3 linked regions of the Rhinolophus ferrumequinum genome follow. The protein of the gene in region 1 interacts with the protein of each later gene in a biochemical or structural test. Links are inferred from orthologs where the notes say so. Each region holds a gene or a part of one and is shown in the gene's direction. Other genes may lie near its edges.

Region 1 (7,107 bases):
CCCCAGGGGAAGGGTGCAGAGTTAGGTATGCAAACCTTCGCCTCGCACCTGAAAAAAATGTCTTTCCCCGTCCCTCCTGGCAAGTGTCCACAGCCCCCAAATTGGGAGGATCCCCATAATCAAGACCCCCCCCCCCGCAGCCGCCCTTCCATCCACCACCAGGGCTATGGCGAATGATAGGAACTCGGGCGTTTCAAGGGCAGAACGAAACTGACTGAAAGACAGGAGGATGCGGGGTCCTCCCCGCAGACATTCTCCGAAAAGGGGAGGGGATGGGGGCAGAGCGACAAGTCCTAGAGGCGAGGGAAGGGGCCTCACGTCCTTCCCGGGAGTGGGGAGCGGTGGGGGCGCCGCGGGAGACGACGAGGGTCTTAGAGCTGGTCCTTCTCCCGGAAGTTCCCGCTCCCACAAGCCACACGTTTCCTAGGCCACGCGAGTCTCCACAGCGGAGCCCTGCGCCCTCGTTCGGGGCGGGGGTCTGCTCAGCCTCGGGTGAGCCGCGGCCCTGCTTGGGCACGGAAGACGCGGGAAGGACATGGCCTCCTAGGTCTCCACCCCCATCTCCCGCCCGATCTGCCTTAGTTGAAGGTGGTTATCTTCTCAATCTGGGCACCCACTCCGCGATACTTGGGCAACGACCGCCCAGAGACCTGAGCCAAGAGGCCAGGAAATTCCTAGTGGACTTGGGGTTTCATGTTACCCAGGACATCAAGCGCTGCGTTTTGAGGGACGGAGGTCAAGGAGTTAGAATATTCTTTCACCCCCAAAAGTGCACGTTTTCCCTCGGGATCCCAGAGGCAGGAGCCAGCCCCCCACACACCTGTTGGGGTTTGCTTTTTAACTCCCACGCACACCTCGTCCGAGTTCAGAGCTGGGGGAGGGGTGTCCGGACCCCGCAGACTGCCGGACCGACTACTGGGGCTCGGGTAGTCTGTGTGTGGCTGAAATGAATTGATCAGAGGCAGAAACGCACCTCCATGAGCTTGGAGCGGTGGATGGTGCGGCTGCCTCTGCGCCCAGCTGTGCCTGTGCCGGGTGGGCTCCAGGGCCAGAGGCCGCAGCTTTGGGGCGCCAGGGATCCGCACCACGTAGCCAGGGCGGAGCTACCGCAGCACGTGGGCCGCCATGCGCGCCCCCAAAGCGTGTAGTGTGGGGGAAGGGGAGCCCGAAGCGCCCCCGGAACCCCGTGGCCCTCATTCGGAAGTGTTTCCCAGGGCGACTTAAGGGCTTAACAGCGGAAAACTCGCGAAGCTGGAGCCAAGTCCTTTCAAGTCACCGGCAGGTATGCGGCTGCAGGTGACCCCACCTGGGTGCGTCCGCTCGTCCCCAGCCCCGTCCTCTCTGGGGAAGGCGGGAGGTCGACACCCGTGGAAGAGCCCCATTAAGCCCTGCACCCCCTCCTCAGAGCCCCCCCTCCTCCCGCGGGGCGGCGCGCAGCCGCGGTGCATCCCAGAATCCGCGCCGCGGCGCGCGGGTTCCTGAATGAACGCGCTCCCTTCCCCCGCCTTGAATGAAGGTTCCCACAGCCAGGGACGGTGGCAAACGCGCCTGCTGCGGAATTTGCCCTCTCGGGGCCGACGAATCTCCCCAGCCAGGGTCACCCCGGTGGGGGGCCAGGGGCCCAGGAAAGCAAGAAGGTGATTTAGTTACTTTTGGATTTCCTTTCCAACCAACGTGGTTTCCCTCCCGATTGATCTGCCGGCCCTTTGTCTCTAAATGGTCACCAAGAAATAAGCTCAGAGCACTTTAAATGAGCCCAGAATTCGGAGTTCCTGCTTCGTGGTGGGTTTTTAAAAAGCAGTGCAAAATTAAAACTGCAACATAAAAGTTTTCAAAAGTTGCTTTTCTCTTTGGAAAAAAATTAATATCAAAACGCATCCTCTGTTCTCCAAGAAACAGCAGTCCTCAAGGACCTGGGGCTGTTGCCCCTCTCGCGGGCTCCGGGGAACACAGATCTGGGATCCTGGGTGGGGGCTGGGCAGCCAGCGCTCCCCGCGGGGCCCCAAATTCCAGCGCCTCCCCCGCGGGTTCCTGGACGGCTCTTCACGCTCACTGGCCGGGCTTGCACTTTTGCGCCCGTCCCTGAGCGGGGAAGTCATCGAAGTTCCTCGTTGAGATCTGCCCGGTCCGCCTAGTAACAACGCCGGGCCCCCATTGGCTCATGCTAATTCCAGTTTCCTCTGCCTTTCTCCCGGGTTGGGGGGAAGCTCCGTCCAGGACCGGGAGCCCGTTTTGCCGGAGTGGGCGAGCCTCTTTATGCCCCGCTGCCCCTCGCTGTCGCCTACCCGCCCCATCCCGGCAGGGGCGCACGCGGGGCTCGGGCCCCGTAGACCCCCGGGACATCAGCCGCCGGGTGATAGCGCGAAGCCCCATAAATCATCGGGGCGGCCGCCGGGTCGGGATTTTATGAATGAAAAAGCAACCCGGCGGCCCTCGTGCGCAGGCTGATGCTGCGAGGCTCCGGCGTGCACGGGGCCAAAGTGAGCATAGTTGCCCGGGGAGGGGGACACGGCGGTGGGTGCTCCCTACTGGGGCCACCCACGGCTTCCGAGGCGTAAACCGAGGGTAATTACCCTCCTGGATCTGGAATATTAGAAATCCTAATTCCCAACCGGGAATAGAGCACGGGAAGAATCAGCCCTGAAAGAGGGGGTGTCTTGCCTTGGTGCGTGCGCCCTTGAGAAAGGGAGGGGTCTTTTTTGTCCGTCTTCTTGGAGCCTTTATGGTGAGGGGATACGGTGATTTGATGACAGTAAACTATTCAGAGGGAAGTATATGAACAAATTTCTTAATTTAGGGAAGGTAGTGTAAAAAAAATGTTACGGTAGCGGAAAAATGTCCTTTTGTTTTTTAAAAAAGCACCAGAAAGACAATCTAATAAAACAATTTATGTGTTCTTTTATATGTCTCTTAACTTTGCAATAATATTGGGGACCCTGCCGTATAACCACGAACATATATAGGTTTTGCTAAAATCATCAGATCAATACACCCATTTCTTTAACTTAACAATTGTTCTAATTTTTGTCACCCCTGCCATCCCCATCAGGCTCACGAACGCAGCCCCAGGGCAGATTCTTAAGGTGAAAAGATGTCACACCTCCAACAGAACCAATTAGGAAGCTTCCGGTGGTCTTGTCCCTGGCAGAGCGGCGACTAATAACTTTAAGCGATTTAATGTACTTTTTAATGTTAAAATGAGACAGGACAGAGACCACTGTCTTGCTGCCCTCCATTCAGGGTGTTTTTCTAGTAAGTAAATTACCGGGAGGGGTGGGTTGGGATTTGGGGACCCCACAAGGATGGACTGGCCAAGGTAGGAAGACAGCCTGCAGATCCCCAGGCGAGGAGGACAGGATGAAGGAAATGCTGGCCACCATCTTGGGCTGCTGCTGGAATTTTCGGGCATTTATTTTATTTTATTTTTTGAGCGAGAACATGCTAGGCTGAAATCTCTTAAACGTTTAGGGTTACTCCCCTGGGCATTTACAACGACCCCCCTGTGCGCCGGCATGAAGCCTCCAGCAGGGTTCTGGGCTCTGCCCGGCGTCCCTGAGTGTTCAATGGTTCCTGAAATTTACACGTGTTAATGAAAATGAAAGAAGATGTAGACGCTGAGATTCCTTGGCCGCCTCTCCGCCCGTGGGTGCCCTCGTGGCGTTCTCGGAAATGCGCCCATTCTCCCGGCTCCGATATAGGGTGCCGCCAAGCCCCACAGTACCCCCTCCATGCGGTCTCCCCCCGGCTGCGTGTGGCCTGCCCGCCCTCCTAGTTGTCCCCCTCTGCAGAGCCACCTCCACCCCACCCCCCAAATCCCGGGGGACCCACTCCGGGAAAACAGGCCCCCCTGCACCCCTCTTCTCCGGCGGGGAGAAAGGCTGCCTCGGGGTGATTTGCATTTCTATGAAAACTGGGCTTCGGGGGCAACTCCGCGGCGGGGCCCTCGCAGCTCCCTGGCGCTCGGCGCCCGCGCCCCCTCCTACTGAGCCCGCCCCCGCCCCCGCCCCCCCCTCCCATTCTCTGCCCGGCTTTGATCTCTGCTGAACAACAGTAACGTCACACGGGCTACAGGGGAGTTTTGTTGGAAGTTGCAAAGTCCTGGAGCCTCCAGAGGGCTGTCGGCGCTGTAGCAGCGAACAGCAGCGTCCGCGCGCTCGGGCGAGGAGCAGAAGAGCTCGAGGGAGCGCAAGAGCTAGAGCCGAGCGCGGACCGAGCCCCCGACCCACCGCCAGCCCCAGGCCGCCTAGCAGAGCCACAGCCATGGCACACCAGCTCCTGTGCTGCGAGGTGGAGACCATCCGCCGGGCATACCCCGATGCCAACCTCCTTAACGACCGGGTGCTGCGGGCCATGCTCAAGGCGGAGGAGACCTGCGCGCCCTCCGTGTCGTACTTCAAGTGTGTGCAGAAGGAGATCCTGCCGTCCATGCGGAAGATTGTGGCCACCTGGATGCTAGAGGTGCGGGGCTTGGGCGGCTCTCTTAAGACTTGCCTGCAACTTGTTACCCACACTCCCATTTCTTTGCGGCTCATCTTGCTCCCTTTTCTTCCACCCTAACTTTGAAGTTTGCCGGGGGTGTAGCTAGGAATCGTATTTTCAAAATATATAGATACTGTGGGTGTTTTTTGAACAAGGACAGAGTTGGGGGCATTAGCAATTCCCTTTCCTGGTCGGGGGGGAGGGGGTCCCTGCGGGGAAAGGCAGTACCAGACGCACCCTAATTAGCTCGAGGGTGCGGGCCGGCGGGCTGGGCGCCCTTTTGGGCCCCCGCCTGGGCCGCCACCGCGCAGCCCCCGCCTGCGCCTGAGTCCGCTGCGCCTCCTCTCCCAGCCGCGGAGCCGCCAGCTCCAGAGGGAGGGGGCATATATTTGATTTTTAAATGAATATCCATGGACACGTATGCAAGGGCCGCTCGTGCCAGTATTATGCGCCATCTTTGTTCTTTTATTGCAAAGCAAAAGTGTTTATTAATAATTGGGGGCAGGGTGGGGGCGGGGAGCGCCAGGCGAGGCGCTGGGGCCGCGGCAAGGGGCCGCGCGGTCGCCGGGAACCGGCGGGAGGGGCGCGGGGACCGAGCGCGGGCAGTTTGGGGGGGACCCCACTCGGGAAGTGGGGGCCCTTTGTTCAAACAGCGAGTCCCGGGGCTCCCTGCACCGCCAGCCTTGGCCGGAGAGCACGCCGGGCTGCAAGGTCGCGTGGCCCCCAACACGCTGGTATTGACCCTCGTCTGCAGGGGTCTCGGTTTGGAGGACCTGTCTATATCGAGCCGGGGGCTAGAGTTACATTTTCGGGCTTTCAGTGGGCGCCTGGGGGGCCCGCAAGTATTTTTAAATAATTTTTTTGAAGTGCGGCGTGGTGCCCTTGCGAGAGTGAAACGGCGCCCGCGCCCAAGGGGAAGGGGGGCCCCTGAGTTTGAATTCCTGGGGCTCTCCACCGAGCCTGCAACGAGCTCCCGACCCCCGGCCTGGGTAAAGGGCCGCTCGAGGGTCATTTTCAGGTTTTTTTTATGTACCCAGTTATTTTTTTTATATTTTTAAATATTTTTTGAAAAGATGACGTCTGGGGAAATGCGGCGCGGCGGCCTGGGACGCCACCTTTGTGTCTCGCAGGCGCCGCGAGCGCGGCGCCCAGCCCCGCGTCCCCGCACCCCATTTGGTGCGACCATGGGCCAGGCGGGCCCCAGAGCACCCACTGGGGCCGGGGTCCCCAGGGCCGGCAGCCCGCGCGCGGCGCATGCCGGCCAGCCATGCCCGCTGCCGCCCCCACCGTGCCAGCCGCGCGGGGACTTTCCCTTTCAGTTTCGGGATGGGTGGGTACTAGGGATACTTAAGGGAGGGGATGCATCACTGCAAGCGTCTGCCACCCCCTGCCCGACCCTCCGTGTTCTGAGACCCGTGGCGCGAGCGCGAGCGGGATGGGGGGCGCGGGGTCCCGCGGAGGGGCCCGGCGGCGGCGGTCACGACCCGGGTGTCCCGGCAGGTCTGCGAGGAGCAGAAGTGCGAGGAGGAGGTCTTCCCGTTGGCCATGAACTACCTGGACCGCTTCCTCTCACTGGAGCCGGTGAAAAAGAGCCGCCTGCAGCTGCTGGGGGCCACCTGCATGTTCGTAGCCTCGAAGATGAAAGAGACCATCCCCCTGACGGCCGAGAAGTTGTGCATCTACACTGACAACTCCATCCGGCCCGACGAGCTGCTGGTAACCCGCTGCCCGCCGCAGCCCTCTTAGCCAAAGGACCCCGGAGTGCGGGTGGGGAAAGTGCAGAGGGCAGGGGGTACCCGGCCGGCCTCCCACAGACCTTGTGCCCCGAGGGCGGGAGGCCAAACTGCCCGGGCCCCTCCCGAGGACCTGGCGGGACCCCCGCCCCACTTTCGCTGGGATTCCCACTGTGGCTCGGTCCCTAGTACCTCCGAAAAGTGGGCGGCGCGCGCCCTCTAGCGGCGGCGGCGCGGACAAGGCTTTGCGTGCGTTCCATGTGCTGGAGGTCTTTTTTTGTCTCCGCTTGTGAAGTGTTTAATAACAAGCAGGAACCTTTACAAGTGGCTCCTTCAATTTTTTGATCTGGGATAGCATGTTTTCCCCAACTTGCTGGACCCCCAACACCCCCATCCTTTCTCTCCAGGCCCCTCTCCCACTCGAGCCCCTCCAGCAGCTGCCCCTGCACCTCTCTTTATGTTTGTTCGCCCCATTTCCACAGCAAATGGAGCTGCTGCTGGTGAACAAACTCAAGTGGAACTTGGCCGCCATGACCCCGCACGATTTCATTGAACACTTCCTCTCCAAAATGCCGGTGGCAGAGGAGAACAAACAGATCATCCGCAAACATGCTCAGACCTTCGTTGCCCTCTGTGCCACAGGTAGGGTGACTGGGCCCTGCTGGCCTGGCCTCCCTGGCAGAGCTTCTTGCCCTCTACCTCAGTTTCCCCATCTGAGCAGATGGTCCGCAGACTCCTCCTGCTCTCCGAAGCTCTCCCCTTTCCTGGTTCTCTTGAACAGAAGTCTCAGGTTGTTGGTTGGGCTAATGGAGGTTGGTGTTGTCTTCCCAGGATCTGGAGGCTGGCTTGTCTGTATCCAGTTGCCGTGGCTACTGCTCCCCACACCAGGCAGGGG
Region 2 (7,997 bases), about 77 Mb from region 1:
GTATCAATTTCTTATTATCTCTGTCCAGAATCTGGGTTTGAATACCGGAGTCTCTTGGAAACTTAAATTTAGGGAAATGTATTCCTTTTATATTCTTTCTCCCTTGCTTTTGGAATTAACTTGGGCAAATCCCTTTTTTCTAGGACTGTGAAATGGAGTGCTGAACCTATTACCTAATCCCCTTTCTGGTCAAAAATCATAGGACTCTATGATTGGAATGGCCTCAGTACTTCTTAACCACTCACTTCCCCATTTTCAGTACAGAATTACAGAATCTCCATTTAAACCTCAACTCAGCTTCTCCTTCCAATGACCCGAACTTACACTCATTCCACGTTTACCAGCAACTAGGATGCAGTCAAGCAAATTCCTCTGTAGAAAATAATGGGCTCTAGAAGAATTTGTAAAACCCGTAATTCTTGTCTCCTATCCTCCCACCCCCATCTTTAGTGTCTTGCTCCAATGCCCAGTTATTTGTGTGCTCTTTATGGGTATTCAAGACCCACCACTCAGCCCTGCACTCCACAGAGAATGCCCTGGACTCTTCACTCCTCTCCATCTTCTTTCCTTATGAAAAATGGGGACAGTAGGAGTGACAGCCATACAGAATTGTGGTGAAGATTATATGAGATAATGTGCCAGTCCAGGGTCTGACACATGGGGAGCTCTCAGTAAGCCCTAGCTATTGTTATTATTATTACTTCTTATTCTCAGCAAATTGTCAGATGGTAAAGCATCTTGCTTTAGTATCTTGTGCTAGGTCATTGCACCAGCCTTATTTTGTAGTCATGCTTCTGCCCGGCAATCCATTCTGTACTCTACTATTAACTGTATCCTTTTCATCCTATTACCTGAGCTTCTTAGCCTGGCACTCAAAGCCCTCCGCATCTGGTCCCTTTCCAGACAATTTCTCTAATTTAAAGGAGAAATGTAAAGGAAAACACCTAAGAGATTTTATATGGCCAGAAACTCCAAAAGAACCAACAGTGTGTAGCGGTTGGTTCCAGAAAATGTGATACACTTAAAACAGCACTAATAGAAGTCTAGAGTGATAAACAAGGGTATTGATTACTTCACCAAAGGCTGTACCAGTCAGTCGTGGAATAATAATTTTAGGTCTACATGTTGGATTTCAGATTGTGTTGTCAAAAGGCAGTGTGTTCAAGAGAGAGTTGTCTGGGTAATAATTGTTATGGAATGTCCTGTAAAATATGGGTAAAAGAATTAGGTATGTTTAGTTGGGGAAGGGAAGCCTTAGGAGGATAGGATGGTTATCTTTAAGTCCTTCAGATGAAGAACCTCAAGTGAAAGAAGAATTGCATTTATTTTCTGGACATAACCAAAACCAATGGGCAGATGTTACTGAAATGCAGATTTTGGTTTAATAGAAGGAAGAATTTATAACAGATTTGACTAAAAGGAAAATGAAGTAGGCTACTTTATGAAGTTTTTAGTTCTATGTCACTCAAAATGTCCCAGAAGTTCACTAATAATCTTGAAACAATTTGAACAGGGTGGGGATTTGAACTAAATCAAAGGTCTCAATTTTTTTTCTAGCTAAGGAACCCTTTCTTTTAAGTAAAGCTTATGTAAAAATCCCAGTTACAAAACAGATCAATGTGAAACTGTTCTGATTGAAGTCTGAATAGGATCCTTTTATTACTTTTTTTCTTCTCAGCTAGGTACTAATATTCCCGAGAGAAAACAATAAAAGACCATAGTTTTTATAGTTTATACTTACAATGTGTATCCCCTATAGTGTATATTACTTGGGTTTAACAAATATTTGTTGAGCGAACAAATGGATATATCAACAGTTATTTCTCTGAAGCATGCTCTCATTTTAAATTGACGGAAATCCTTTAATCAAGTGAGGGTTCTTACCCTGGGGGGTCCACAGATCCCTAAGAGGGGTATATGAATGGATCTTAAGAGCTGTATGAACCTATTCAAATTGTGTGCCAAATTTGGGAGCATATGTATTTTTCTGGTAAGAGGATCTATCGCTTTTGTCAGATTTTCAAATGGGTCTATAACCCAACAAAGCTAAGAATCCACCACTTTAATGGAAGAATTTCAGATGTCCACCACAGCCTCATAAAATATATATTTTGGGGCAGGGAGGTCCGGGTCCTCTCCAAATCATACACATGCCTGCTCTCTTGATCACAGAGAGTAATTGAGGGGTCAGATACCCAGGGTCTCTTGCACACATCATACCTTTCGTGATAAGACTCCACTTCCAAAGGATGCTGCCCTGGCCATCACCAACAGCCCTTGTTTCCCTTGCATTTAGCCTGGAATGACCATGTGTGGGGTAGTGATGCAGTGGTTCCTCTCTTGGTATGTTCCAAGATAGGAGGCAAATTTCTGTCATGGGCCTCCCCTGTGCGGAGGATAGTGGTTTGGTGATAATGGCAGAGATTTCTGCGTCTGTACCCTTGTGTATACATACTTGGTCCTTCAGAATCAGAGACCATTTTCAGTGGACAGACCTCAGGATGGGAAAACAGGGCTGTAGGCAATCCTCTCCAGCCAAAACCTGCTTTCCCAACCCCTACCCCAAATAAGCCAGACAGTCTGGAGACCCTTGTTTTTGTGTTTCTAATCACCAGCTCAGACAGTGCCCTCTGGGCTGTTTGGATGGCATATCCCTTTTCCCTCCCAGGATCACTCTCTCTTTTGTTGCATTGTGAGAAAATTATGGCTAGGAATTTAATCTGGAGCCAGTGTTAGCTTCTGGGTGTGACCTCAGCATCCAAGTGCGAGCTCAGGGTTCTGTAGTGCTGGGTACACCTAACTGAGGAGCATTTTCTCTAGATGGCTATGAGACCTCTTCCCTCCCTGCCCACCCCCTCCTCCAGGCCACAGAATAGGGAGCGGCACAAACAAGGCCCTGAGATTTGGGTTTATTCAGCTCCACCCAGAACTAAACCAAAGACTAGGACATGTCCCAAGGGACCAAACCATACATTGTGGCCCATGCACTTTTCCATTCCCCCAAGGATGCTGCTGCCTCTCCGGTGGTGGCAGCTGCTCATATCATTGCACGAGGGAGAAAGTGCTGGGTGCTGGGTCTGTGGCACTCAGGGCTCAACTCTGGCTGCCTCCTCCTCTTCCTCCGGATCAGGAGGTGCAGGGAGCAAGGAGATATAGACCTCATTGACCTCAGTGTCCAAATGTCGGCCACCCCGAGGCGCCTCCAGGTTAAGGATGCCATCATGCGAGAGAGCAGCACGGACCCGCCAGGGGTCAACATCAGCAGGCAGGACATAGGTGCGGCAGAACTCTCGGGACACGAAGCCGTGGCGGTCCAGGCGCTGGGGGTGCCGGGCAGACACCTCCAGCAAGTTGTCCACAGTCCTCACGGTCACCTCATCTGGGGTAAAGTGGCTCACGTCCAGAAATGCCTGGAACTTGCCCTCACTGAGCCTGAGCTCGGAGGCCCCTGCCCTGCTGCCCTCCCCAGCTCTGGTGGCCCGGGGCCGGACATAGTAGCCATGGTAGAGGGTGGGGGTCAGGATCTCTTCTGGTAGGAGGCCTGAGGGGCAGAGAAAGAGAAGGCAAGAGGCAGGATGAGGGAGCATGAGGTAGGAACGGGGTGAAATGAGAGATGAGGACTGGGGAGAGCAGGAGGGGAGTCAGAAGTAGGTAAGGGGAGAGGGTGGGGGACACAGCGACTAGAAGGAGGCAACGGGGAGAAGGGATTGAGAAAGGAAATGAGATGGGGGCAGAGGAGGGCAAACCAAAGCAGAACTGGGTAAACAGAAGGGGAACAAGAGGCATCCTTAGGGGGGCAGGGGGCAGGTGTCAGAGCACTGCTCTTACCACCTCTACTCTGAGGTCAGTAGAAAGGGAAAAGAGCCCTGCTTGGAGGGAGTGAGGGGGGAGCTGGGGTGGGAGATGGCTCGCCCCAGGAGTTCAGTTAAGCCCGGAGTGGGGTGGAGGCCAGCACCGTTGGGAGGTCAGCCCAGAATTTCAGGCGGTGGGGGTGGGAGGCAAGGAAGTGGCGGCTGTGCCATACCTTCTCCGAAGCGCTGCTCACCCAGGCGGCTCGGGTTGGCAAACTCGTACTCGGCGGTGGCTGGGTGGGCATGTGGCACCGAGCGGCCCGACATGGTTGCAGACGTGTCAGAGGCCCCGGTCCGAGGTGCACCGAGACCCCACCAGCTGCCTGGAGAGCCAGGGCTCGGTCCGAGGTGGGGGCGGGGTCTACACCACCCAAAATAGTGTCGAGCCTCGAGCCTCGGGGAGGGGCGGGCAGCGGGGCCCTGAGCGCCAGCCAAGAGTGTGTGACCAGCGCTGCCTGGACCCCCGCCCCCTCCCCTGCACACCCTTCAGCTGTCGCAGGGGACTCCAGAGGACAGCTGGGGGTCCTGGCTGGGGAGCGAGCTGGGGAGCGGTGGCTAGCATTAGAGGCCCTAGAGAGGCCTCGCTGAGACCCTCACAGTTTGCACATTGTCCACGCCACCTTTTCTCCTCCTCAGTCGCACCCCACTTCATAAAGCTCTCCTGGATTTAATGTTCTGCCAGCCTTATAAGGTGAAAGAGGAACACTTTTCTTCCTTCTCTTTGGGGTGGGGTGAGGGCTCTTCCTGCCCAGATTAATGTCAGGGTCCTTACCTGAACCCACATCAACTTTGAGCACCACACAGATGCCTGCCACAGACATGTTGGTGATCACTGCTCTCCTCCAGGGACCCACAAAGAGTTAATGTCTCTGGGGCCCAGCCAAGGAAGATTCCAGTTCCTGCCCAGGCCCAAGATAGTTGCTGGCTGGATTCCCCTGGCTCCCTAGGCTGGAGAGGAGGAGGGGCACACCTCCTGCCTGCTTGGGATTCTTGACTCTGTCCCAGTCAAGGGGGGCGGGAGGGACGGGGTGGGGGGGATAGGGTGTGGGCAGAAAGCTAGTGAAACAAGTCCAGGGCAAGTCACTGGACAGCTCAGACGTGTTTGTATTTCTCTTTTCTTAGCTCAGTGAGTACTGGGTATGTGTCACACTGCCAAATCTCCGATCACAAGTCTCTATGAACGGGTGGTGAGCTAGGATAATAAAACCCCTGACATCACCGTTCCAGAAGCTTCACAAGACTGCATATATAAAGCGCTGGTTGTAGCTGCAGCTGAAGGAGCTGACCAGCCAGCTGACCCCCAGCAGTCAAAAAGCCACCATGGATATTGCCATTCACCACCCCTGGATCCGACGCCCCTTCTTTCCTTTCCACTCCCCCAGCCGCCTCTTTGACCAGTTCTTTGGAGAGCACCTGTTGGAGTCTGATTTCTTCCCACCTTCTACTTCCCTGAGCCCTTTCTACTTTCGGCTGCCCTCATTCCTGCGGGCACCCAGCTGGGTTGACACTGGGCTCTCAGAGGTAAGTCTCCCCTCTGTAGGACAGGAGAGTTCTTCCTGAACCTTCTGGAAAAATGTCTGTCTGCTCTACTTCTCCTGTCTGTCTAAATCTGGCTATGTCTAAGTGTCCTAAATCTCTTACGCAATTGCGTGTCCTGCAGCGAAGAAAGATGAGGTTACTAGTTCCTCTGTCTCTCCCCCAGTCACCTGTTTGTCTTTGATGCTTCTCTATATCCTACTTACTACATCTTTCCCATGTGCTAGGAAGATCATCCATACCCTAACTTCTAAGAAGGATGCCCCTTTCTGGTTTTGTTCATAAGTATCTACAGGGAAAGAGCTGCCTTCAAACTCCTTTGCTCACCATTTCTAATACCTCATACTCCTGACAAATTTTATCATCTTAAGTTTCAGACCAGGAGACAGCCCTACCTCATTGTGAGTTTGTCATCCCCACTGAATGGAGCTGGAGACAGCAACCGCTATTTTCTTCCTTCTTACTCCCTCTTCTGTGATTTTCTGAGTTTCTCAGGGCTGTGACAGGGCACTGGCCTGGGTCTAAGCCTAAGGAGGAAAGATGTAGGTCCAGTCTTAGGACCCCCACTTGTCCTAAGAGGGCGAGAGAATGGAGTGAACATACAAGGTGGACAGAAGCCGTCACAGATAACACTCTAGTTTAAAAATATTCAAGTGTGAATAAATAGGAGCTGAGTGGGCAAGGGCTTTGGAAAGACAATCATGGCCAGCACAACATTCCAGATTGAGTGGGTGGGAAACTTGGCAGAGACCTGAGCAAGAAGAAGAGGCCTTTGTCTAACAGACAAATGACAAGGCCAGGCATTGGGGTCAGAGAGGCAGTAGAAGCCAGGCCCAGACCCATCCTTGTGATTATTCCCCCTGGGTGGCCTGTTGTCTTCCCTGTCCCTGTAAATAAAGTTTGATCCTGATGACCAAGTGCTGTGCCTTGGGTACCACTGTGGTGGCTCCCCTAAACCAGAGAATCATGTTTATTTAAAAAGGAATTTTTTTGCCAAAAAGAGGAGACTAAATTACCTGCCTAGAAAGCAAGTCAGCAGAATGGTAAGACTGCACTACTTATCCACATTCCTACCATATTTTTCTCCTACCCCCTCCTCTCCACCTTACTATTTCTAGATGCGTCTGGAGAAGGACAGATTCTCTGTCAACCTGGATGTGAAGCACTTCTCCCCAGAGGAACTCAAGGTCAAGGTGCTGGGAGATGTGATTGAGGTGCACGGCAAACATGAAGAGCGCCAGGTATGCAGCTTGTTTTCTCTACTGTTCATTCATTCAGGGCATACTATATACATACCATCAGCCTTTGAGGCTGGCAACATTTCAGTCCTAAACCATTAGGGTCTGGAACAGGGATAGACCTGGCGTTGTTGTTGTTGTTTTGGCCAGAGACATGATCCGTTGTTTGTTTTGATTTGATTGCCTTAGATAGGACAAATGGGCTTCCCATTTAAGCCAGTGGTCCGAAACCTTAGCCACGTTAGAATCACAAAGGGAATTGTAAAAAATTCCAGTGCTCTGGTTTATCTCAGACCAATTAAATCAGAATTTTTAGGGATGGAACCTAGGCATCAACATTTTTATAAAGCTCCCTAGGTAATTCTAATGTACAGTCAAGGATGAAGACCGCTGACTTAGGCATAGTGCTTGTCCGACACCTGGTTGCTTTTCATAATTACATTAACTGCATGTACCCCGAAGGCTCTTGAGTTTGGGACTTTTCTTTTAGATGTTCAGGAATCCTTTTCTGTTTAGCCCTTCTTAGTCCTGAACTACACGGTCTGCCTAAGTTTCAGAGCTGTACTCAGCTCCTAATACTGTAGAGCCCATGTAGAAATCAGTTAATTAAGAGCCTGTCTGGATAAATGCTTGAGATTCAGCAGATATAAGGGTTAGGGTCCACTGCTCTTTAGCAGAATACTCAAGGATGGAATAACTTCTCATCACTTTCTGGGAGGGTTTTTTGATGGGTTTGCTTCTTACCAATTGGTGATAACTGAGAACCTTATTCATCAAACAGTACAGTTTTAGTCCCTCCGCCTGTTTCTGTTTTGTGTGTATGATTTTAGTTTGGGTCAGAGTCTCCCTGGATGGAGTCTTTTTTTTTTTTTTTTTTTTTTCCCCTAATGGTAGCAGTCCTATTGGCCTGGAACATTCTGGGACCTTCCCTGAAGAGTCAAGACAATTTCTAAGCTTCCTTAGGGATTCAGATCTTCAATGCCGGATGATATTCCAAATCCTGTAGGCCCAACAAACATAGATCTAATCCTCTGGGAAATACATCTAAACATATCCATGCCTCCGGGTTATGAAGTTTTGCCTGTTTCAGACTTCTCAGATTCTCATTGGTAGGAGTGACCACCTAGGCAGCTTCTTCTTCGTCCCAAAAAGGACAGCTTTTTTTCATGTTGCCACAGTATTGGTCATTCCTAAGGGGAAGGAGGATGTTTGAGTTCTAAGCAAGTGGTGCTATTTTCCTGTTCTTATCTCTCTGCCTCTTTCCTTGTTCTCTTGGATTAGGATGAACATGGTTTCATCTCCCGGGAGTTCCACAGGAAATACCGGATTCCAGCGGATGTGGACCCTCTAGCCATTACTTCGTCCCTGTCAT
Region 3 (7,358 bases), on another chromosome or scaffold:
TTTCCAGGTTCTGGGCTATATAGTATTTAATTTACCTCAGAGTTTAGTATTTGCTCTTTTTAAAGAAAAATCATTTAGTTGAAATTTTCGGGGATAGGAAGTGGAGAAAATTATCTAAACACGTTTTTTTTCAGATGAGATTTGAGAATTTGTCTTTCCGGCAAATTTAGAAATTCATCCAAACATATTTTCTTTTAGACAAAAATTTTTTCAATAACTAATACCTGCAACACAAGAGAAAATATAACAAATCCACACAAAGTAGCAGGATGACCTATTTGTTGTTTTTTTTGTTTGTTTTTTTCCCATGTAAGCAAATTGGAACACCGTTCTCAACTTTTCAGATGTTATTCTAGTGATGTCACATTATTCTGTTCTGTGTCTGCTTGACTCAGTAACACTCATGGAGAGAAACAGGACCCTCTGCTGCCTTTACTGACCACCTACTATGGCCACATGGCATACATAGCATTGTCACAGGGAGCAAGGCACTGTGGACGCCCTTGGGGGAGCTCAGGGTGGTGGGTAGCAGAGCATCAAGCTTTTAGGAAGGCTAAAGAGAGCAGATGACTTCAAGGAGTTAGAGCAAAGAGGAATGCCTTTCTGCTGAGGGAATCGAGGTTTTAGGAGGAGCTCGGCCTTGAAATGATAGGATTTAGAAGGCTGAAGGGAAAGGGAACTGCAGGTAGAGAAGACACGTTTCTGCGGTACTGAAATCAGCACACTGATCCTAAACCTTTGCTGGGATTATATTAAACATTACTTTAACATGACCCCTTCAAGGAAATTGAAAGAAGTAGTCCCAAAGAAGACGGACAATAAGGTACAAAGCCAATTTTCCCATTGACAAACAGTTATTGGACATAAAATACTTGACAGCTGCTGTGCTAGATACTGGATATAAGAAGTTATGAGTAACTTGGAACAAGTTTATAGTAGGGTTTAAAAATTGGACCCTCTCTTCAATTTATGGTAAAATGTTTGATCCACGGAGCTATTCTATTATCTACTTTCTTCTAGGCATTTAAAGAATTCTGCAATATATACCATATTTCCCCGAAAATAAGGCTTAGACGAACCATCAGCTCTAATGCATCTTTTGGAGCAAAAATTAATATAAGACCCGGTCTTATTTTACTATTATATAAGACCAGGTCTTGTATGACAACATAACATAACATAACATAACATAACATAACATAACATACATAACATAACATAATACCGGGTCTTATATTAATTTTCGCTCCAAAAGAGAGCATTACAGCTGATGGTCCGGCTAGGACTTATTTTCGGGGAAACACAGTAGATGATGTATTACAGAGTTGTACACCTGATATCTATGTAACTTTACTAACAATTGTCACCCCAATAAAATTTAATTTAAAAAAAAGAATTCTGCAAAGAATTCCATTATGTGTATTTTCAGGGAAAATCCATTATGAGACAACATAAAATAGTTACATGTATATGGATGCATACATTATACAATCGCATTCAGTAAGATAGATTTCATTTCATAATAGGATAGACATAGAATGCTGTTCATTCTGAAAGATTCAAGTTGCCTAGATACGCCATACGTAGAGCACTGGGGAACATCTCTTGGCCCGAGACATTAACATGTGCTTTCTTCACTTTTACCTGCTGCCAGGCCATTAATAGAAGTTTGTCCCAGGTGCCTTTCTTTGTACTTCCTCCCACCCTCCCAGATCCCACTTTATCATCATTCATGCCCACTGTGTTGTACCTCTACTACTTCATCTGAATGATCTATCTAAAACATGTACATATGTTTTAAGGTCAACCAAAGGCAACTATGGCAACACAATTGTTAGGCCATGTGTGCAGCTGAGATGCAAGTATTTATTATCTTAGAAAAGAAATGTTAGAAGTCAGTAAAAAAAATTACAGGACATTCTAAATGTAGAGGAAATGTAGATATTTCCATGTGATTATCACTAACTTTTATAAGTGTATTTCCATAGTTATTCTTCTGATTACTCAGAATTCTAATATAGATAATGAAAGGATCTTAAGAACACATTTCAAACATGTCACAATAGCCAAGAACATATTCACACACATGTACACACACACAAAGGAAAAAAGAAGATGTAAGTGTCTGTCAAAAGGCAAAAAAATAGGAAAGATGATGACAATTATACAAATATGAACATAGTACTGACATGTAGCCCAGGGATAATTATAGAGCTGTAGAATCCATAAAAACGGAATGTTCCAAAAGATAATAATGTCTGTTTTTTTTCCCTTAAATTTTATAAGCTACTACCCCATATATTTTTTTCCCTCACAGCAAGAATCAAAATCTTTTCAAGTTTCACTGCTCAAATGCAATGCACTAGATCACATGCAAAAACAAAACCAAAAAAGCCCAGGTCATTTCCAAATTGATGCCAAGTAATTTATTTAGAAGATTGAACTTAAAAAGTCATTTCAAGTTCATAATTTTACAGTTGCAAAAGTTGGTAATACAATTGATTTTTCCTAGAATATTAGCAAATTTTCAATGTTACATTTTAAGGGAAAACCCAAGAAAACACCTTGGAAATGCCTGGGGAAAAAAAAGAATGCATTAAAATGCACTGAATTATAAATTGCTATTTCTGTTAAAATTATAGTTTTTCGTGGTAATTACTTAACAAAGTATATTTACATAGACATAAAAATCAAGTTTAAAACAAGGGTAACTGATTTCACAGTTATTAAACCAGAAAAGGTTTTTTATCAAAACAACAAACAGGAGAGATTTATAGACAAAAAGTATACATTTACATGGACCTCCAATTAAAACTATTATGTAGTAGATTAAGCAAAATCTCACTTCTGAATTTCTGGGAAATGTATTTTATAAATTCAAATAGCTAATATAAGTCAGAGATCACTTAGAATTAGATGTACATTAATTATATAATTACTAATTTTAAATAAATTACTCATTTCTTAAATGAGGTTATAAATTATAGACCATAATTAAAGAGATTTTTTTATTTTAGTGAAAACAAAAATTTACAGATATATGATATAAAATATTCACACATGGAATATATCTTTTCTGTGACACTTAAGAAAACTTTCAGTGTAAGCTACAACATCATATTTGGAGATAAATCCATGAGTTCTAATTTTTAAAAACCTGTAAGATGATTTGCAACTTTAGAATATCTGATGTGTGGTGTGAAAATACTGGTGCAAATCATTATTTATTCTTAAATGCTATGTTTTCATTCATCGAAGATTCCTAAACAAAAGAGTCGGAATTTGGTTCACAGTTTATAAACTTTGCACAGATTTTGTTATGATAACCTGTTATCCACAGAGGAAGTTGTCCATAAACAAAAACAATCTGGTATTTGCTAATTTTATAAAATCCATTGTAAAACTTCCTGGTCTGAAGATTTAAGCAACCAGGTATCAATGTGAACCATAACCAGGGAGAGTGAACAATGATAAATTAACAATATCAAAGAAAGCAGATGATATAAAGAGAGTTAACACTCAGTATTAACATATGTAATGAAAGTTTCATTGTTTTTTACATTGCCTAAGTGATCTAGTAACCTAAATTATGGAATTTCTAATTCACCTATGGTTGTTGTCAAATTAAGTAATTAAAAATGCAATGCAGTATAGAAAAGACATTTTTCTGTTAATTTTAAAGATATTTACAGCTTAATATTTTTTAAACAAATTATGTACTCAAATAAATTTTTACAATCATTTACTGGGTCCTCTGACTATTGATTGACAATTATTTCTGAATTACATAAATGTGTTGATTACCAGCAAATAAATCTTGTTTTAAGATTTTAAAAGCATTGATAAGTGTAATTATTAAAATGGAGGATTGTCATTTGTGTCTTGGGTTTAAAGTCTAATTCATGATTTGTAGTGATCCAATATTTTATATAAATACAAAATCCAACAATTTGCTTTCTTAAGTCTAGAAGATATATGAGATCATAGATATCTTTACAAGTACAAATTTTGTTCTGAAATTGGATTTTATTTTAGAAGACATGCCCCTAAACACAAAATGTATTTTATGAATTATATTAAGCACACAGAAACACAATTCTTCACTTTCATTATTTAAGAAAAAATTATTAGAATACATTGCAAAATATTTGCTAATGGAAATGCAACAATTTTTAGTTACTTAACCTGCCACTTCACACTGTAGTATAGAAATCAATTTTATAAAGGCAAAATTTTGATCTAGTGTGAAATTAGCAACATGGTTTAGTTCAAAAAGTCAAAAGATTTATAGAGGTAATATTTCCAATTTAAACAGAATTTTGCTGGGTTTTAATTTTTCCACAGAGCACTGAAATAATTTTTTTTAGCTTGGGTTTAAGATGTTAAAATGGTTTCAAGTATTCTACAGATACAGATTTTTGGACAAAACTGAATTCTTTCCAAAAAACAGTTAATTTTAAGTTTTGTTTTACCCTATGGTAAAAACTCTTGGAAACTTTTTTTTCCTTCCAAAATCTCATTTTCACCTGAAATAATTGTATTCAGGTTTTCTCAGCAGGTAAAGTATAAATTCTTACAAGGTTTCAAATTTCAGAATTCCAATAATGCATTTAAACTGAGCACCCACCGAATCACTTTCTCTTCTCTTTGTGTGTGTCTATTATCTTGCTGTTCTGTTATTTACACTGAATTTTAGTCTTTTTAGCTCCCCAAACCCTCAGCAGTTGCTAACCACTTAATAATTGTGAACCCGCCAGCCCCTTCAAGTAGATCGTTAACCACAAGAGTGCCTGACAATTTCCAAATCATATCCTCTGTCCAAAAGGAAAAGATAGGGCTTTGTGAGGCCGAAAGGAAGCGAAGGAAAACAAAACAAATGTAGCTCATGTAGAAAGTGAAAAGTGCTTGGACAGATTAGTATTTTCTGCAAGGCGTCCTGCCAAACTTTTTTTTTTTAATAGAGAAAAGTTATTTTTCGGTCTGATTTCTCAGTTTCTTGGAAAGTGTGGGTATTTACCATCCCCACCGGCCTCTCATAATTATTGTTGGTTGTTTTGTGTTTTTCCCATCCGTCCACATCACAGACTGCTGATACCCCCGCCTCACTCTGTCAAAACCCCAACTGTGGGCGACCCTGGGTTTGGAAACTCTGCCGACTCCCGACGTCTCATCCCACTCTCCCTCTCACGCCTCTTGTTTTAGTCGCAAGAACCCCCACTCCAATCGCAGTGAAAGCCGGAAATTTTCATTTAACTCCCCCACCTCCGACTCGCCCCCCAGTTGGAGCCGAGAGCTGGGGAGCTGGGAGGCTCAGAGCACAGCCGGGTCTCGGCCGCCTCCCCTGTCTCCGGAAGGCTTTAATTTGCACACTTGCTTGCTACTGCACCGCGAGTCCCCAACCCCGCCGCAGGGTGGGTCTCGAGCAGAGTAGGTCTCCCGGGCCTCCGCCCCCGCCCCTTGCTGCCTCCCCGGCTCTGCCCCGAGCCTCGGCCAGAGCCCCGCGGCCGTACTGTCTCCCAGCGAACCGTGCGGGCGGCGCCCTCCGCGGTCCCTCCGCCCTCCGCCGCTGTGCCCACCCCCTTGCGGGAGAGAGAGCTGGTGACTCCTTCCTCCAACCGGGTTACCTTCTCCGCGCCGCGCTGGACACGTGCGGACATCAGACTGACACTTGCAGCCCCCTCCGGAGGCTGGACGAGGCCAGGCCCCTCAGGTGAGGAGCTGTGCACTCGGGTGGGTGGGCTGCGGGGTGGGGGGTCCCCGGGGAGATTGGGGGGCTTGGCTAGGGTCGGAAGCGAGGGTGTAGGTGTGGGTAGACTATTGTGGGGTATGTCCTCGGAATCCGCGTAGGTTAACCCCTTACGAACCGAGGCGGGGCAGTTACGGGGGCCAGTGTGGGGGAGCTAAAGGAGTTTTTCCTAATCTGGCAAGAGGACATACCACACTAGGGACACCCCCAACACAGAGATCCTGAGCCTGCTCCCTCACAACCTGCGCACAACCACCTACTTAAGCAAGCACTCCTTATCCAGTTTCTTCAAACAGAATTTAAACTCCACTCGGACACTCACACAGTGATCCACATTTAGGGTTGAAAATGGGGGGACTTAGTGCGGGAGATCGTGTTTCCGTGCCCCATCTTGATTTCCCCACGAGAGCTCCCTCTCCAGCTCGCTGAGATGTGGGTGTGGGTGTGGGCTCCACCTTCCCACCACGAGATACGAGATAAGTGTTAACGCAGGCTCCTTGCTGGCAACCCCTGCGGGCATGTTATGCACACTTAGAAGAGTGCACGCAGGCTGCCAGTGCCCAGGTTTGGAGCCCGGTAAGGACTCACGTTTGCTTTAGTTTCCCAGTTTACTTTTATAATTTAAAATATCGGAGTTAAAACACACCCCGCAGTGAGCAGCTCCCGCCCCACAGCGCGCCGGCCAGTGTGCACGTGGGCGCATCTGCGTGTGCGCACACGCGGGAGCCCTGGTCGCCGGTGCGGCCTCTTGTCGCTGCGCTGGTGGCGACCCTTGCGGTGCTTGGCAGGCTTCGGGAGAGGCACATGAAGCATTTCATTGAGTGTGAAGACAGAGAGCAGAGACAGAAAGCAGAAGGAGGCGGCTGTAGTCTTTGTAGTCGCAGAGGAATGCGGAAATGTTGAAGCACTATGTCAAACTTTTTTGAAATGGGGTCAAGTCACATTCAGCCAGCGTGGGAAAGCAACAACAACAACAACAAAAAAAAGTGAAGGGTGGGGGGAAGGCACTGCTGCTCCCGTTTCTCTCCGCCGGAGCCGAAGGTCGCGGGAGCGAGGGGGGAGAGCCTGGGCGGGCTGTGCGGGGCCGGGCGGGGGCAGCGGGCGCAGTTCCCTGCGGGGGTGGGACGTCGGCGACGTTTCCTTCGCTGCAGAGCCTGGGGCTGGAGGGGAGGAGGGGCGCGGGTACGCCGACGGGGCTGCGCTACTGGCGGTGGCTCCTCCGCTACCTGTGTGGCCCTCGGCCTGGCTCAGACCCCCCGGGCAGGCTCTGGGGGCTCGTTCTTCGGCCCCCGCCTGGATTCACCTTCACCTTTTAAGGAGAGTTTTGAATGGATTGAGTGTGAGGGTGTCTGTCCTCGCTGTGGTCCCTTCCGCCCTCACACCGTGAGGGTCGCGCCATTTGTTTCTTTAATTCCTGGAAGAAGGCGAGCGGGCCAGCGGTTATGGGGCAGGTAATTCCGAAGTGCCCCGGGAATTCCGGACACGCGGCCGGCGTGGCTAACGTCCCGCCGAGGCCGCGGGGCGGCCGTGGGTTGGCGGATTCCTGGGTCCTAGATTGCAAATGAATGGGGAGGGAAGGTGACCCCCAACCCCGCAGTTTGTTGTGCTGTGG

The links.
Region 2: of the proteins of CCND1 (region 1) and CRYAB, one has a biochemical effect on the other in vitro, tested with the Homo sapiens proteins (2 studies listed by BioGRID, with this or other methods). The link is inferred for Rhinolophus ferrumequinum from reciprocal best matches to the Homo sapiens genes CCND1 and CRYAB.
Region 3: the proteins of CCND1 (region 1) and CDK6 form a complex in vitro, tested with the Homo sapiens proteins (3 studies listed by BioGRID and IntAct, with this or other methods). The link is inferred for Rhinolophus ferrumequinum from reciprocal best matches to the Homo sapiens genes CCND1 and CDK6.

The regions. Positions count from the first base shown.
Region 1 is NC_046294.1:3,500,911-3,508,017, reverse strand, and holds the start of CCND1 (G1/S-specific cyclin-D1), read left to right. Parts: upstream 1-4,045; 5' UTR 4,046-4,260; coding exon 4,261-4,458; intron 4,459-5,979; coding exon 5,980-6,195; intron 6,196-6,694; coding exon 6,695-6,854; intron 6,855-7,107. UniProt on the Homo sapiens protein: Regulatory component of the cyclin D1-CDK4 (DC) complex that phosphorylates and inhibits members of the retinoblastoma (RB) protein family including RB1 and regulates the cell-cycle during G(1)/S transition.
Region 2 is NC_046294.1:80,288,683-80,296,679, reverse strand, and holds the start of CRYAB (alpha-crystallin B chain), read left to right. Parts: upstream 1-4,963; 5' UTR 4,964-5,171; coding exon 5,172-5,372; intron 5,373-6,223; exon of another isoform or gene 6,224-6,427; coding exon of another isoform or gene 6,428-6,430; intron 6,431-6,505; coding exon 6,506-6,628; intron 6,629-7,906; coding exon 7,907-7,997. Other genes in the region: HSPB2 (heat shock protein beta-2), read right to left, coding at 3,087-3,541, 4,025-4,118. UniProt on the Homo sapiens protein: May contribute to the transparency and refractive index of the lens. Has chaperone-like activity, preventing aggregation of various proteins under a wide range of stress conditions.
Region 3 is NC_046303.1:33,410,678-33,418,035, forward strand, and holds the start of CDK6 (cyclin-dependent kinase 6), read left to right. Parts: upstream 1-4,328; 5' UTR 4,329-5,710; intron 5,711-6,257; exon of another isoform or gene 6,258-6,322; intron 6,323-6,391; exon of another isoform or gene 6,392-6,787; intron 6,788-7,047; exon of another isoform or gene 7,048-7,197; intron 7,198-7,358. UniProt on the Homo sapiens protein: Serine/threonine-protein kinase involved in the control of the cell cycle and differentiation; promotes G1/S transition. Phosphorylates pRB/RB1 and NPM1.